Caenorhabditis elegans: one gene and its partner. The protein of the gene in region 1 purifies or fractionates together with the protein of each later gene. This does not show direct contact. Each region holds a gene or a part of one and is shown on either strand. Other genes may lie near its edges.

Region 1 (7,984 bases):
TGTTAGACTTGATAGGAAGAGGGTCCGCAAGCATATGCAACCTGGGTGCCGGCGGTGGTAGGGGCAGTGATGTCAGCAATACTGTTTTCTTTTTATCCTGCTCTTTGGAGAGCCGTTGAACAGGTGGACAAGCTGGGATGACTTTGATTGCAGGATCGTTTATCTGAAAATTTTAAGAAATATTAATTTTGAAATCAATTATAAAGTTTAAATTTCAAAACGCTTTTTAAAATGTTTAAAGTTTGGCAAGAGGATATGCTCACGATTCTTATTTTGCGCAGAGAAACCGAAGACATAGAGTATAAGAGAGTACAAAACGGAAGAGACGCAGACGATTAACAATGACCCACTTTTTTATGTTTTTCATCATCTTCTTATTCTTCTTTCTTCGTCGGCAAGGAGAAGAAGCAAAGAGAAAACGAGAAGACACTTTTGATGAAAAAAGAGATAATCGGAACGAAATGAAAAAAGATACATAAACTTCCACACCTGAACCAAGATAAATTCAAGAAATTGTGAAAATACTGGGAAGCCCTGTAAACGATAAGACAGACAAAGTAAAATGATAAGAAATCAACTTTGAAAAACGACAAAATCGGGCGATTTCTATTCTTCTCTTCTCTACATCTCTTTCACTAAAGTTATTATTGGCAGCAAGCCAACAAAACCGTGCGCCCAATGTTGTGAATGACTATGCGTATGAGAGTGTATGACCGACCACCAGCCACCCTCCACAGGCTGATTGAATGTTTCTCTCTTTCTCTCATTGTGCACGTCACTCTCTCTTCTTCTAACTGTCTTTCTCTCTTCATATCCTCATTCCTTATCGTCGTCTGATTCTCCAAGGTTTCTTCGTCTCGATTGCGCAAAAGAGACGCAGAGTCTTAAGCATTTTGCTGCTTTGGAGACATACACACATCTATGCGCGTAGAGACACGTACACACACAAAGCCTTCAGTCACAAAAATGAGAAACACACAGCAGCAGTCGCAGCCACAGCATCGCCGTCTCGGGGCCAGGCAGAGGACACCGATCATTCACCAGTCATCGAATCGACACGGCAATAGAAAGAGGGTGGAAACAAGTGAGAGCGCGGCGACACGACAAGGATGCCTAAGGCATCATTTGATCGGAAGAGTGATCAGACATGCAGACAAACATCGAAGAGTCCTCCGATCGGATGATTGCAACGGGAAAAACGAAGGGAGTGCAATCAACAGAGGCGACAGGGGTAACAAGTGAAGGATAGGAAGCGAGTAAAACCACTACCAGCACTCCGAAAAAACGAAAACTTGTGTGTGTGTGTGTGCCTGTGCGGAGGAGGAGGTGGAGAGAGAAAACGAATCGAATCGGCGACGATCCTGCGAAGGACATCAACGACGACGCGACGACAATGGCCACCGCCGGTCGACCCAGCGCCTGGGCGCCCACTTCTCCTCCTTTGCCTGCATTTGATCAGTACGATACAAAAATGTCTACCGGGTTGAGAGGTGCGCGGAAGTAAGACAACAATGAAGGATCCCATGATTGATAGACTTAGAAGTTGAAGATATTCGGAGAAGTGTAGAGACCAGCTAAAGGGAGACTTAGATATTGAAAAGAGACGGAACAAAACATTGCTCAGTGTTTTGGAAAAGTTTGTGCTGAATTTTGAAAAAAAAAACAAAAATTTGCAGCGTCCTCATTAGTAAAAAGAACTAATAAAGATTATTAGACTTTTTCAAAAAAAACTAAAGGGTTTTATGATATTTGTTACCGTTTAATTTAAATTAGGTGAATTAGAATAACATCAAAAATTTGACAACCCCCGAGAACAATCAAGACATTCAACTTAGTTGGAAACAGGCGAAGATCGTCTTAAGGTGAGGCAGGCAGGCGGTGAGGCCTATATGATAGGCCTACTTTCAAGATCAAAAGTTTAATTTAGATTTAGAAATAATTCTGTGAATGTACCAAAATGTAAAACAAAAATGTTAAATGACAAAGTCTAGAAAAAAAAAAAAAAGAACATAGAACTACTTCAGGGAGACGGAAGAGAAAATGAGTGAATGTCTCTCTTTGGCGACAAAAAAACTCCATTGACGGAAGACGATGAGAAAGGTGACATCAAACACAACGAGAAGAGGAAAGTAGGTGAGAGAGTGAGTAGAGACGTAGAGAGTTAAGCAAAAACCGTAACAAGTGAGAAAGTGGGGAGATGCAAGGATGATGTAGCAGGAAAATGTAGAGTATGACGTGGCGACGACTATATTCAAATCTATCGAGTATTCGTCGAAGAAGAACCAAATGAAGCACAAGAGAATGATGTTGCCTCACTATGTGCGTGTGTATGTATGTGTGCGTACGGACGGAGAAAACGAAAAAGCAGGACAAAGCGAGGAATACGACGATGACGATAAAGAGGAAAATAAGAAGCGCAGACGAAACAACGGCCGCCGGGGGCCACCCGAGAAAAAGAAGTCCAGAAGGGGCGGCGAAGAGCAGACGCAGAGAATCATCTAAGCTTATGAAATTGAGAGAGAGAGAGACACTCTATGCACGTCTCTTTCTCTTCCAAACTCGCTTGGCCCGACAGCAATTTGTTCCTTTTTGTGTCTATGTCTCTCCGAGTTCTTCGTCTATCTCTCTCAGTGCCCCCCCCCCCCCCGAGCACTATTTGTCGTTGTCACACTCAGTCAGCCATCCATCCAGCCAGCCGTTGGCCCAACCCATTTCATTTCGTCTAAACGTCTGTACTCTCTTCTCTCGTCTATTCCATCTTCTCAAGTGTGTTGTGTTGAATGGATGGTGTGTGTATGTGTATGTGGAAGCACGCGGACCTCCTTCGACAATGTCTCCCTCTCTCTCTCAACCTCTCTTTCGGTTTCTTTTTCTCAGGATAAAGAGATTTTAGACGCAGATATGAAAACAGGACGGAGGACGTCTCTTTCTCCATCTCTATCTCTTTCACTCTAAGAGTGAAGCGCAATGGCTGTGTTGCTATTCCAGGGTCCCAATGCTGTGACTCAGAAATAGAGTATCCTGAGAAGAGATGCAGAGAAGAAGCGGGCACACACGATTGTATTCATATTTTTACTTCTCTGAATCTCTAATACTCCGTACAATCTCTAGTTTTTCAAGAGACAGGTGTCTATCCACCTGGTCTATCAAGCATCGGACCTTCACAGCACCAGTATGACTAGGGATTAAATATTTGAAATTGATGGGTACTGTAGTTCTATTTTTATTTTCACTTCTATGAAAAACCAAGTGATAATCTGGCCTGATTTTCTTAAAATATTAAGAAATCGATTTTAATACTTTTTTCTCAATTTTTAGCGCATAAATCTTCAATAAACATACCGCTTTCTTCAAATGATTTTCACAATAACCACAATACTTGACATTCCGACTTATTGCCCCTTCTTCACATAAAAGTCCTTTCCGCTGAGCACAGGTTACGTGAAAGCTCCTCTGAAAATTTCGTTTAAATTACAAGAAATTTAAAGAAAAATAAAAATACCTTGCACGTCGACTTGTTACACGACATACATGCACCTTTTTTCGCATCATTTGGACGTTCTTCATTGCAGATGTAGCACAGTTTATTGAATCTATAAAATATATAAATTGATCGAGATAGTAATAAAACTTCAAGATTTTTTCAAAGAAAGAGTTTAAAATGTTTAGATTTTTTGTTGTTGTTTTTTTTTTGAAAGTCGAAAAATCGAAAAACTGGAAAAAAAATTTCGGTTCAGAAATGTACCGGAAATTTTTAAAATTTGAGATTTTCCAGAGAGTCAAAAAATCGAAAGTCGAAAACTCAAAAAATATTCACCCTTGATCAGACACATTTTTCATATTGAATTACCCATATTCTTGAGAAAAACTTACTTATCAGTTGGTACATCATTTAATATGACTGGTTCCATACTATGTACGTTCCCAAATCGCACTTCTGGAATGTAAAGTGCACAAATTACATGAGCCCATCCGTTTCGATCAGTTTTTTTCAATGCTCCATAGTCAAACGGACACAATTGACAACAAAATGTTGCCTCATTTATACTGCCGGGCATCATAGCTGATGCTTTCGTACATTTTGCACAAAACCATTCGCCTTCGGGTACTTCTTGAATTCCATAACATCCTGAAATGATAAAAATTCGGTGGGGCCTAATCGGAAAATTTGGTTTTTTGAGAGAAAATCGAAAAAAAAAAATCAAATTCATCTAATAAGATGGAAAAAAGCAAAACTTCAAACAATGCTTGGAAACGTTGGATTTTTTTTCGAAATATCGGGAAAAATACTAAAATTTTTCAATTTCTGTGAACTTCTACTCACCCTGATGTACTGCAACTTCACAATTCTCTCCATCACAATAGATCAATGGATTGTCTGTCCAACCATTCTCATCTGCACAAACGCAGCATCCACCTACCATCTCCTTCATTTTTCAGCAATTTCGGGGGACTCTGTAAAAATAATTATCCATTTGAGAATACAATTCACAAATTTTCCACAAAAATTCGAAAAAACTTACGATAATTTTTTTTGGGTTACTGTAGCTGGTCAAGAGGTCAGGCGTGGCTCATTTGTATGGTGATGTGCTGTAAAAATTCGGTAAAAATTACGCAGAAAAGGGGAGATTAGAGGTATATTGCCGTAAATTATTGATTTATTATGGCCGAGCGACAAATAAAGAAACAGAACAAATAGAAATAACCTAATTTCGGAGAAAAAAGAACGTTTAACAATTATCTATAATTGAATGCGTATCAAAAATAGTATTAAAGTTTCATAGAGATATTTAAATATTAGATTCGGAAAACAAAATAAATTGAAGAATGTTTTGCTTTATAAAATACACTAAAAATCCATTTGAAAATATCAAATATCAAATTACGAAACTCTTCAGAAATTCATTGAAAAATCTTTTATGGCCATTCAAAATTTTGCATAAAGGCTAATTCTTCAAAATTTAGAATTTTAGGTAAAACTGCTATAAAAAAGTTTGAGGAATTATTGAAAAGTTTCGTTATGAATTTCGGACTTTTCGGGCCAATTTGAGTGAACAAATTTTTCATTGAAAATTTAACGCCGAGCATTAGATATTTTTCTCTCAATTTTTGAAATAAAAGAAAATGGAACTGTACAAAATTTCGTCACAAAAGACAAACGGCAGCAGTCAATCAATACGACGAATAGAGGTCATTCAAAGACAAAAAATTTTTGCAGCGTCTCTCTTTTCTCTCTCCTTCTTATTATCGGGGAGCGGCCATCGATTCGATTTTCGATTCAGTCAAGTCAAAAAAGTTATGGGCGTGAATGAATGAATATACATTTAATAGTGATAATCAAATTGAGAGAACGACAGAGAATTACAGATTGTGTATGGAAGAAAAGGAAGAAGAAGAAATACACTGATAACGACGACATCGTCAGTGTCTTTCTCTCTCTCTCTCTATCTCTCTCTCGTCACCAAACCACCATCACAATCTTCCCGATTTGAAGTCTTTGACAATGAGAGAGTATTAGACACAGACAACTAGTAGCCTACAGTAGGAGAGACCGACATCACGTTCTCGTTTGGAAGAGAGGGAGAAGCAATCGAGAAGAAGAAGAAAAAGGAGGTGAAGATAGACACATACAACTTGGCATCGTGCCAAGCATGCATGAATTCTCACAGGGGCGCAGCGACGTCGGCTCTTCTATGTCACATGCACACAAGGAGCACATACATACAAACAAGAAGGGGAAGCTTTGCTCCTTTTCTCTCTAACTTTCTGCGTTCCAGTGCTTTATTTCATATAGCCGTATGTTTTAATAAAATTAGTTGAAAAGAAAATAATATACGGATCGGAAAATATAAAAATTTAAATGAAAAGAGTCATTTGGATGCTTAAAAAATCGTCCAAGGGCGAAATAAAGTTAATAAACTTTTATATTTTTCTCTAAACCTCGCCTAACATTTTCTACCACATAACCTTATAAAAATTAACATTGTATTGTCATTGAAAAATTAAATATTGAAAATTAACGGTCAAGGTGATAAATATAAATGGAAAAGTAATCAGTATCATCATAGACACAGATGTGATCGGATATACTTCGGGTATCGAGAAAAGAAAATTTACGATGGGGTACTTGCATAACACAAGAAAATCTCTACAGAGGGGTCACGAAGGATTACGATAGTCAAGAAATCATTTTATTGATTTTTTAAAACCACTTGGGGAACAGTTATAAATTTAATTTAACTAATGGTTATTGTGTGAAATAAAAATTTCTACAGAAAATTAACATCTTTAACAAAAAGTTTTTAAAATTAAAAAAAAAAATTTAAGAAGCAAGAGAATTTATTAATAGAACTTCACTGGTTTTTAAACATTTTTCAAGGCTAAAAATTCTTTTTTGATGAATCAAAAATAAATAAATAAATTTTATCGAGGATTTGTTTTCTAAATTTGACTATAAAAATTAATAATGAAAAACCATAGAAATTATATTAATTTTCCGACAATTTCCTCACTGAAGATATCTAAAAGGTGTTCATAATGACAATAAGTGTCAGAGACCAGAAAAAATTGGGTCGTCAGACTGACGATAGTAGCCGAAAGGAACAGAAAATCGGCACAAATGTCTCGGACAGCGACAACACGGTTTGTCTTTTTCTTTGTGGGGCGACAAGGCGCTGAGCACCTGACACTTGACCCATCACATATCGATCGGATTTAGACCGAATAAAGCCTCGAACAACATCGACAAAACGAGAAATGAGAATGACGACGACGTCCGTGGAAGGAAAAAAGTGGAAAAACAGAAGGAAAAACAAGACTTGACTGGGAAAAGCGAGAAGTAGATGGAGAGGCGAAAAACAAGTGTAACTTTTGATTGAGTGTGTCCCAGCTGTGGTTGAGAGTATGGATAGATGCAGACTGACTGCTGAATGCATACATACACGCGACGAGGCAAAAAGAACAGAACAGAGAGGAGAAGAGGAGGACGAGGACGAAGACGGGATGCAGCAGACCCTAGTGGGGGTCTCTCTACTACCATAGCTTCTCTATGTCTCTCATGCGAACCCCTCTTCGCGTTTCTCTATTTCTCTAACACCTCTTCAGGCTGTTCTATTTCTCTTTTGTCGTCGGGTCGCACTCGCGTATGTCCGATGTGACCGGCTATTCAACTGGCGAGGGATACGGAGACGTAGATTACTTTCGCGTCTGATCCCTCCGACTATCTATCCATCTCCCTCCCACTTCCAACACACAGCCACACACACCTCAAAAGAATCCGTCTTTCCCTCTTGGGGTCGTCTTTTCTTCATCGATTGGACATAGTAAGAGTGTTAGACTTAGAATGTAGAGGAAACTCGCGGTGTTCGATGAGCAAAAGCAGTGGGAGCAGATCCTGCTCACTTTCTCACCAACATCGTCTCTGAGTGTTGTTCATCTGGGGACCAGCGTTTCCTTTTTGAGGGTCTTTCAGTTGAAACATATTGTATTCAGTAATATTTTGAATATTCGTTTCGTTATGTGCTCTCTTAATTCGAATTAAACTTTCAGAAAATCTATTCTATTGTAAAAATGAAAAGCAGATAATTAATAAGAAATATTTCCTTTCGATTCTCTCTGATTCTTATGTTCATGTCTACATTGTATAGGAATTGACAAAAAAGATTCACTGTTTGTGGCAATTCACCAAAAAAAATCGACTTTTTCAACAGCAATTTCCAATGTTCGACGTGCCGTTTATTATATAAACGCAGGACTCAAAACTGATAAGAATTATTTTTAAAAATGACTCATATTCCTGGAAACGTACAAACTTTCAAGGTTATTGAATACATTAACGCCTATTGTTTGGTTGTTTGGGCGAGAAGAGGAGGATGTGTCTGCGTAAACAAAACATCATCAAAATGAAGGGGGCAAAATGGTTGTCTGTGGTGGGTGGAATCGAAATCGAAAAGAAAGTCGAAATGGAGTACGGTATCCTGTCCCG
Region 2 (7,869 bases), 6.2 Mb from region 1:
AAGCGGTGCCTTTGCCGGATCAATAAACGCCGATGGTGGCTTATGATAGACAGAAGCCAGTGTTCCAATATGACAAACAAGTTGCTCCAAAAGCGATGGCTCAAGTAGATCAGTTTCCTCCGAAATAAGCGGCTTCTCAGTGAGCACAACATTTTTCGCCGCAGCTGGATCAGCAGACAGAAGTCTCCAATAGATGAATCCACGATCTCGAAGATCCGGATTATCACTATCCTGAGTGGCCAGTGAGAGCACACGTTGTACAAGAGCCTGAGCAACTCCGGGACGCTTCAGGAAAAGCTTGACGACAGCGGTGAGAAGTTGCAGTTGAACCTGAGTATTCTCATCATGGAATCCTTCAACAAAACTCTCGAGGAGCTCATCAGCATTATCAATTCTCTCAGCATATTCTCCAATAATCCAAATCATTGAAGCCCGGGCTTCAGGCTCATCCAGCGTGTCCAGATTCTCACAGAGTGCAGAAATAATACTCTCATATCTATTCGGATATTTTCTAAAGATATCCTTAATCACAACGACGGCTTCTTGTACAACATAGTTGACTTTTGTCTGAATGAGCTCCAGCAGGGTCTGAACACATCGCTCACTACTAGCTTCAACTTTAATAGCACATCTTCCAATTGCTCTAACAGATTTCCGAACAAAATCCACATCAACCTCGGTGGCATATTCCTTGAGCTCACTGAGCACTTGAGCGATATTATTCTGTTGAGCCAGTCGAATCATAATATCCAGCTTCTCCATTTTCACATAAATCGGATCATTATATTTCACAAAGAACACCTTCATTTCTTGTTTCAAAATGTCGGGGCGTTTTTGAACGATCAAATTGATGTTTCGCAGTGCGACATATTGAATTTCGGGCTCCGCCGAGAGCAGGGTAACCATTGGTGGTGCGAGCTTCTTCGTGAGTTGGGTGATAAAGTCCGAATCTGCTGGCATCATGTCGATCAGCTTCATGAGCACTTTTACGGTGGAGAGAACGACGGCGGCGTTGGCGTGAGCCAGACGGGGAGAGATTCGCTCACAAATGTTTTGAGTTTCACGTTCGTCTCGTGGGGTGTAGCCTGGAATTTTAGATTTTTTTTTTTGGAAAAAAGCCGGAAAAAATCAACAAAAAAAAACGCTTTTTTTTAACTTTCTTAGCTTGAATTTAAAAATTTTATGGAAAATTGAGCAAAAACGCGGGAGTTTCGATGTTAAAAATTTTGAAAAATCTTTTTAAAAAAATTTAACAAAAAAACGTTTTTTCTCGAATTTTATTTTTTGAAATTAATTTGCATTTTTTAATTTTTTTAGCCTGGAATTTTAGATTTTTTTTTTGGAAAATTGAGCAAAAAGGCGGGAATTCAATGTTAAAAATCGGAAAAATCGAAAAAAAAACGATTTTTTTAAAAGAATTTAATTATTTTAAATTAATTCTTTTTTTTTCAAGTTTTTCAACTTGGAATTTAAGATTTTATGGAAAATTGAGCAAAAATGGCTGGAATTTCGAAGCTAAAAACCAAAAATATCGAAAAAAAAAACGATTTTTTTTAAAGAATTTGATTATTTGAAATTAATTTGCATTTTTAAAAATTGTTTTAGCCTGAAATTTAGGATTTTTTGGAAAATCGAAAATTTGCAAATTTCCTACAATTTTCATGCAAGCGCGATTTAGATTTTTCCTAGTAGAAGCTCGGGAGTTTTCAATTTTCCTGAAAAAAAAAATTATAAATTTGCGATTTTTCTCAAAAATCCATCAGAAAATGAAATTTTTGCAGATTTTTCTTCATTTTTTGGAAAAAATTGTTTTTACAGATGTTTGAGCCGAATTTTACAAAAAATTTAGCGTTTTGCCGCCAAATGCCTAACGAGACCTAACAGTTGGCCGTGGAGCGCACTTGCACACATCAATTTCAAAAATACGCATTTTTCTGCGTCTCTATAATAGAAAAAATGATGAAGAACTAGAATTTCGAGAGAAAAAACCAAAAAAAAATGGTGGAAATATGTAGCCTGGAATTTAAGATTTTTTGGAGTTTTTTTTTTTGCAAATTGAGCAAAAAATTAGAAATTTCTCTAGAATTTTTTATTTTTCAGGTCTAAGTTTTTAATGGAATTTTTTTTCAACTTTTGGTTTTTTGAGGAAAAAACCGGCTTATATTACTAAAACTGAGTATCAGATCAGAATTTTCATAAAGTTTCTGGAATTTTTTGTCATAGAAATACTTTGAAATATCAAAATTAAAACGTTTTGCTGTGCTTTTTAAACCTATTTTCACTATCAGTTTCGGAAAAATAAAGACTTTTCGCCGCTGAAATTCGAAAGTAGCGGTTTTTGTTGCAAATTTGGGGTTTTCTTAGAAAAAAAATACAATTTTCAAGATTTTTCATGCGAAATTCGTCAGGATCGGCAGCAAAAGAATTTGAAAACCGAAAAATCTAAATTTTGTATTTAATAGAAAATGTAAGCTAATAATTGAATTTTCTCGTTTTTTAGAAATCTCTTCAAGCTATAATTTTAAAGTGTAAAAAATCGATTTTTTTTCTGTTAAAAACTATAAAATTTCGATTTGTTTTCAGATTTTTCTCTGGATTTCAATTTTCTTTTTTTTTCCAACTGCAAATTTTCAATTTTTCTCAAAAAAAAAACTATCAGAAAATTAAATTTTTGCAGATTTTTTCTAATTTTCTAGGAAGAAAAAAAATGTTTTACTTCGAAATTTTAAAATTAAAGCGTTTTTCAGAACTATATTATTTATTTTATTGGATTTTTCTCGGTTTTGAAGCTATTTTGAATATCAATTTCGAGTTTTCGCCTCTGAAATCTGAAATTAGAGGTTTTTATTGTAAATTTGGGGTTTTCTAGGAAAAAAAAATACAATTTTCTAGCTTTTTCATGCGAAATTCGTCAGGATCGGCAGATAAAGAATTTGAAAACCGAAAAATCTTATTTATATGTAGGTTTTCTGGTTTTTTTTAATCTCTTGAAGCTGGAATTCTAAAGTGTAAAAAATCGATCGAGAAGTTTCATTAACAAAATTCGATGCTTTCAGACAATTTTGAGTCTAATAAGGCAATTTGAAAAAATTCGACTACACACCTTGAAAGCTTTTTTTAAGTTTTTTAGGTGAAAAATTGCTCAATTTTACGATTTTTTCACTTTTTTTCCACGATTTTCAACACTTTTTTGCTGAATTTTTACCTGCAAGAGCATCCAAAATGAATACTTGTCCCCATTCAGTACACTCATTCAACGCAGTCAATAGTTTATTAACCATTTGACTATTCACTTCAATTACAGTCTGTTGCTCATTCATTTCAGTCAACGCGGCAACCGCATTCGCCACAACCATCGGATTGGCATCGGAGAGTAGATCGTTGAGCAACTCAACGAATCCCTGCTCCTTCACAAGAGCCGGATTCATGTCGTGAAGCTTTGCAACACAGACTGCGGCGGTTTTTCGAACGTATGGATCCTCATCCTTCATACATCGACGGAGAGGATCACAGAGGTATTCGGTGATCTTTTCAACGCGAATACATCCCATTGTACGGACAGCAAGTGCACGGATTAGAGGATTCGGATCTTCACAGTCCTGAAAAATTAGGAAAATTATTGAAAATTTCCGAAAAATGACCGAAAAAAGCTGAAAAATCGGTTTTTTCCTGTTTTTTTCCCGGAAAATTGTCATTTTAATGATTTTTCGAGGAAAATTATGGTATTTTTGATTTAAAAAATGTTATTTTCAAGCTTTAAACGAGAAAAAACAAAAAAAAAATTCGCGCGGGGCATTTTTACAGTTTTTAAGCAAGTTTAACAGCTTTTTGAGTAAAAATGAACTGAAGGAAAAAACCCGCAAAAAATGTAATTTTCCTCTCAAAAGTGATAAAAAGTTGCTCCTCTGCAAATTTAACAGCTTTTTGGGGAAAATTTCCACTATTTTCTCAAGATTTGGATCTTCACAGTCCTGAAAAAAGTGCAAAATTATTAAAAATTTCCGAAAAACGACCGAAAAAAGCTGAAAAAATCTGGTTTGTTCTTGCTTTTCCCCGGAAAAATGCCATTTTTATAATTTTTCCCCGGTTTTACGAAAATTCGGAGAATTTTGCCGGGAAATCTGAAACGTCTGGGATAATAATGGTATTTTTAAATTTAAAATAATTTTATTTTCAAGTTTTAAATGAGAAAAAACAAAGACAATTCGCGCGGGAGTGTTTGCAGCTTTTGGGCGAATTTCTTATATATTTAAGCAAAATTTCAGCTTTTGGAGCGAATTTTCAGCATTTGAGCAAATTTTCAGCGTTTGAGCAAAATTTTCAGCTTTTTGAGCGAATTTTCAGCTTTTCGAGCAATTTTTACAACTTTTTGAGCCAATTTTCTACTTTTGAACCTTCTCAAGCTGTCTCCCCTACCTTAACAAACGTGTTAACCGCCATAATCGCGAGATCAGGCTGCGATTTCGCGTAATTCATCAAATACAGATAGACTAATTTCTTCAATTCAACATTATCCGTCTGCATACAATTCACCACATCGGGAAATAGAGCGCTGACGTCTTTTCCGACTGTCATACTGGCGATAACCTTCTTCACAGCCTCTTTTTTCTTCTCCTTTTTGTCAGAGTTGAGCTCATTTTTCAGTTCGAATATTTCTCCTGCAATAAAAATTGGAAATTTGAGTTAAATTCATTGAAAACGATATAAAAATACCTTTCTTTGTGGTGGTGAAATATTTGGAGTCGGTCATCTTGTGATACCCCTGAAAGATAAATGTGAAAAAGGGTAAAAATTCAAATTTTCGTAATAAAATCGAGGTTTCAAGGAAATTGGAGCCGCAGAAGTTGGCGGAGATGCAGAATTTTGGGCGGAAAAGAATGAAAAATCGATAAGTTGCCGTGTGCGCAAAGATTTCCGTCCCGCAAAACCTCCAAATATTGCCGAAAAGGGAGAGAGAAGGACAGAGAAAAAGGGATAAAAGTGGCCACGGAAAGTGCGCAAGCAAATCGGGGAAACGCGTCAGTGGGGAGCCTTTGCGCGTTTTTGGATTTATTTTATTTTTATTTTAATTTCTCGATTTTAAACGTTTTTTAATGTTTTTTTGAAAGAAATCGTTGATGAATCTGGTTTTTTGATACATTTTTCGCATAAAGTTGATAAAATATGAATTATTGTTATTAAAAATTTACTATTTTGACCAAAAATTATCCACAATTTGTTCGTTACACCAATTTTCATGTTTCTGGCTAATTTTTTCCGAAATATTGCATTTTCCAAGTTATTTTTGAATTCCCGCGCAAATTAAAGCAAAAGAAAAGTTAAAAAAAAAAACGAATTTCTGACCTTTTTTCACTTTTTATATAGTTTTTCGATTTTTTTTTTCCAGAAACATTCCAGTTTTCTGGAATATTTTTGAAATCCCTGTGGTCATCTTCAACTTTGCAGACTTATAATCTCTGAAACTACTGAAATTAGCCGAATATTGCGAAAAATGACTTGTTTCGAATCTAGTTTCAAACAAAAAATTTAAAAAAAGGCCTAAATCTGTACTTTTTTAGTCTTTAGAACTGAAAAAAAAAGTTTTTTTTTACCGCTGAAACCCCAAAAATTAGGCGAAATTGACTCAAAAATGTTTCAAAACAAACTTCAAACCAAAAAAAAGCTTACTTTTTCACTCAAATTCTAGGATTTTGCTGGAAAAATCCCACTTTTTTTTCAATATTTTCCCTCTTTCAATTAAATTAATTGAATTTTAAAAATCTCCCGGCTTAAAATTACAATTTCAGGCATGAACGAGCCATCGGCCTGCTCGGGGCCGCCCGTAAAGAGCAAAAGCTCGAAAAACGAGCCATTTTACACATTAAAAGCTCTACTTCCACGTGAGTTTCTTCAAAAATCTGCTCAAAACCCAATTTTTTATTCCAGCGTACAGCGAAATTCAGGGAAATCACGATCTTCTCATGTCGTACGAGCTCGGGCCTGTTGAGGGAGGATTCAGTGGTAGCAGACGAGTTAAGGAGAAAATCTCCTCGTTTTTGCCGCATATAATCGGCGAATTTCACTTGGACGCGACGAAAGAGGCGAGCTCACTGCGAGCTCTCATCGAAAAACCGCCGATTCACAAGGAAATTTCGAATTTGACGAGCTCTTCGATGCAGGGATTCAAGCTTTCTGCTGGGCCCGTCGATGAAAGGTGCAAATTCGACGATGTTCTAGATTTTTCTGATTTAAAATTGAAATTTCCCATTAATTTTGATGTTTTCCGCAAAATATTGCGGAATTTCGCTATTTTTAAACATTTCTCCCATTTTTGTAGAAATCGCTGCGAGACCCAACGGACGATAGGGACCATGCACCTTTAATTTTTGTAGATTTACTGGTGGCATTTTAAATAGTTTTAGGCCAATTTTTGCACAAAAACGGTGGAAATTCAACTGAATAAGCACAGCGCCACTCTTTCGAACATTTTAATTCAATTTCCGCAAATTTTTGAATTAATTCTGGCATTTTTGTAGTGATCGTTGCGAGACTCAACAATCAATAGAGACCATGCGCCTTTAATTTTGTAGATTTACGGAAATAATTTTTTAACAGTTTTAGCCCAATTTTTGAACGAAAACGGTGAAGTTTCGACAAAATAAGCTTATCGCCACTATTTCGAACGTTTTAATCAAATGTCCGAAATTTTTTAATTAATTCTCCTATTTTTGTAGAAATCGCTGCGAGACCCAACGGTTTTAATAGTTTTTGGTCCAATTTTTGCACGAAATCGATGAAAATTCCACAAAATAAGATTAAATATTCAATTTTACAGGTCAACACCAACATTTTAAACTTTTAAATAATTTTTCCGCTATTTTTCAGACAAATTCTTGCATTTTTGTAGTGATCGTTGTGAGACCCAACCAGCGCAAGAGACCATGCGCCTTTAATTTTGTAGATTTACGGGAGGCATTTTTAACTTCTTTTTGTCATTTTTTGCGCGAAATCGATAAAAATTCCACAAAATAAGATTAATTAATTAAAATTAAATTTTTCCAGATATCGCCACCTATTCGAGCGCCGAAAAGAGGAACCAAATCTGGCGTACAGCGAGAAATTGAATTTAATACGGGTTCGGCAACAATACGACGCATATGGATTTGATGATGATGAGACGGAGAAAGGATTTCCGAAGAAACACAAGAAAAAGAAGAAGGATAAGAAGAGAAAGAAGGAAAAAGAAGAATTAGGCGATGCGGAGAAAAGAAAAAGAGCCGCCGATGAGCCAATGGAGTTTTAGGGGGGATTTTGGGTGGGTTTAAGCTCAATTTTGAGGAAAAAAAATGAATAAAAAAGTCGTATTTATTAAAGGTGGTGTAGCGCCAGTGCCTCAATGACCGAATATCATGATAAAAAAATTCAAAAAAAATTTCTAAAATTTATATGATTTTTTTTAAATTGAAAAAATCTCAGTTTTTGCCAAATTCCGATTTGAATTTCCGTTTTATTATTTATTTATTGTTATTTTGCCTTATTTTTCACCGATTTTCCAAGTTTTCAGTGTATTTTTACATGGAATTTGAAGAAAAAGTCAAAATAAATTAAATTTTCGATTAAAAAGCATTTTTAATTCAATTTTCAGATGATTTTCGCGCGAAATTTAGGAAAAATAATTAGCAAATTATGAGAATTTCGAGTAAAATTTTAAGAAAAAAAACATAATTTTTTCAGTTGATTTTTTGAACGTAAAAGAGCTAGAAAATTTGGAAAAAATTATTGAGGATTCTTTAAAAAAATTATCGCCAAAAGTGATAAAATTGGAAAAAACCCAATTTTTTGAAGAAATCTTCTAGTTTTTGGTAAAAAAAAAAAATTTAAAAAACGCAT

The links.
Region 2: the proteins of zfp-1 (region 1) and apb-1 purify together in Caenorhabditis elegans (affinity purification with mass spectrometry, with the first as the bait; one study listed by BioGRID). This does not show direct contact.

The regions. Positions count from the first base shown.
Region 1 is NC_003281.10:8,795,004-8,802,987, reverse strand, and holds the start of zfp-1 (Zinc finger protein zfp-1), read right to left. Parts: upstream 4,591-7,984; 5' UTR 4,524-4,590; intron 4,456-4,523; 5' UTR 4,434-4,455; coding exon 4,325-4,433; intron 4,130-4,324; coding exon 3,874-4,129; intron 3,594-3,873; coding exon 3,503-3,593; intron 3,456-3,502; exon of another isoform or gene 3,454-3,455; coding exon 3,343-3,453; intron 2,503-3,342; coding exon of another isoform or gene 2,287-2,502; intron 164-2,286; coding exon 1-163. Other genes in the region: F54F2.6 (uncharacterized protein), read left to right, coding at 2,287-2,502. UniProt on the Caenorhabditis elegans protein: Recruits the histone methyltransferase dot-1.1 to chromatin to methylate 'Lys-79' of histone H3 and activate transcription. Recognizes and binds histone H3 methylated at 'Lys-4' (H3K4me) at the promoters of target genes.
Region 2 is NC_003281.10:2,592,273-2,600,141, forward strand, and holds the start of apb-1 (AP complex subunit beta), read right to left. Parts: upstream 4,763-7,869; 5' UTR 4,751-4,762; coding exon 4,714-4,750; intron 4,659-4,713; coding exon 4,417-4,658; intron 3,600-4,416; coding exon 3,206-3,599; intron 1,086-3,205; coding exon 1-1,085. Other genes in the region: mdt-19 (Mediator of RNA polymerase II transcription subunit 19), read left to right, coding at 5,789-5,879, 5,926-6,193, 7,042-7,282.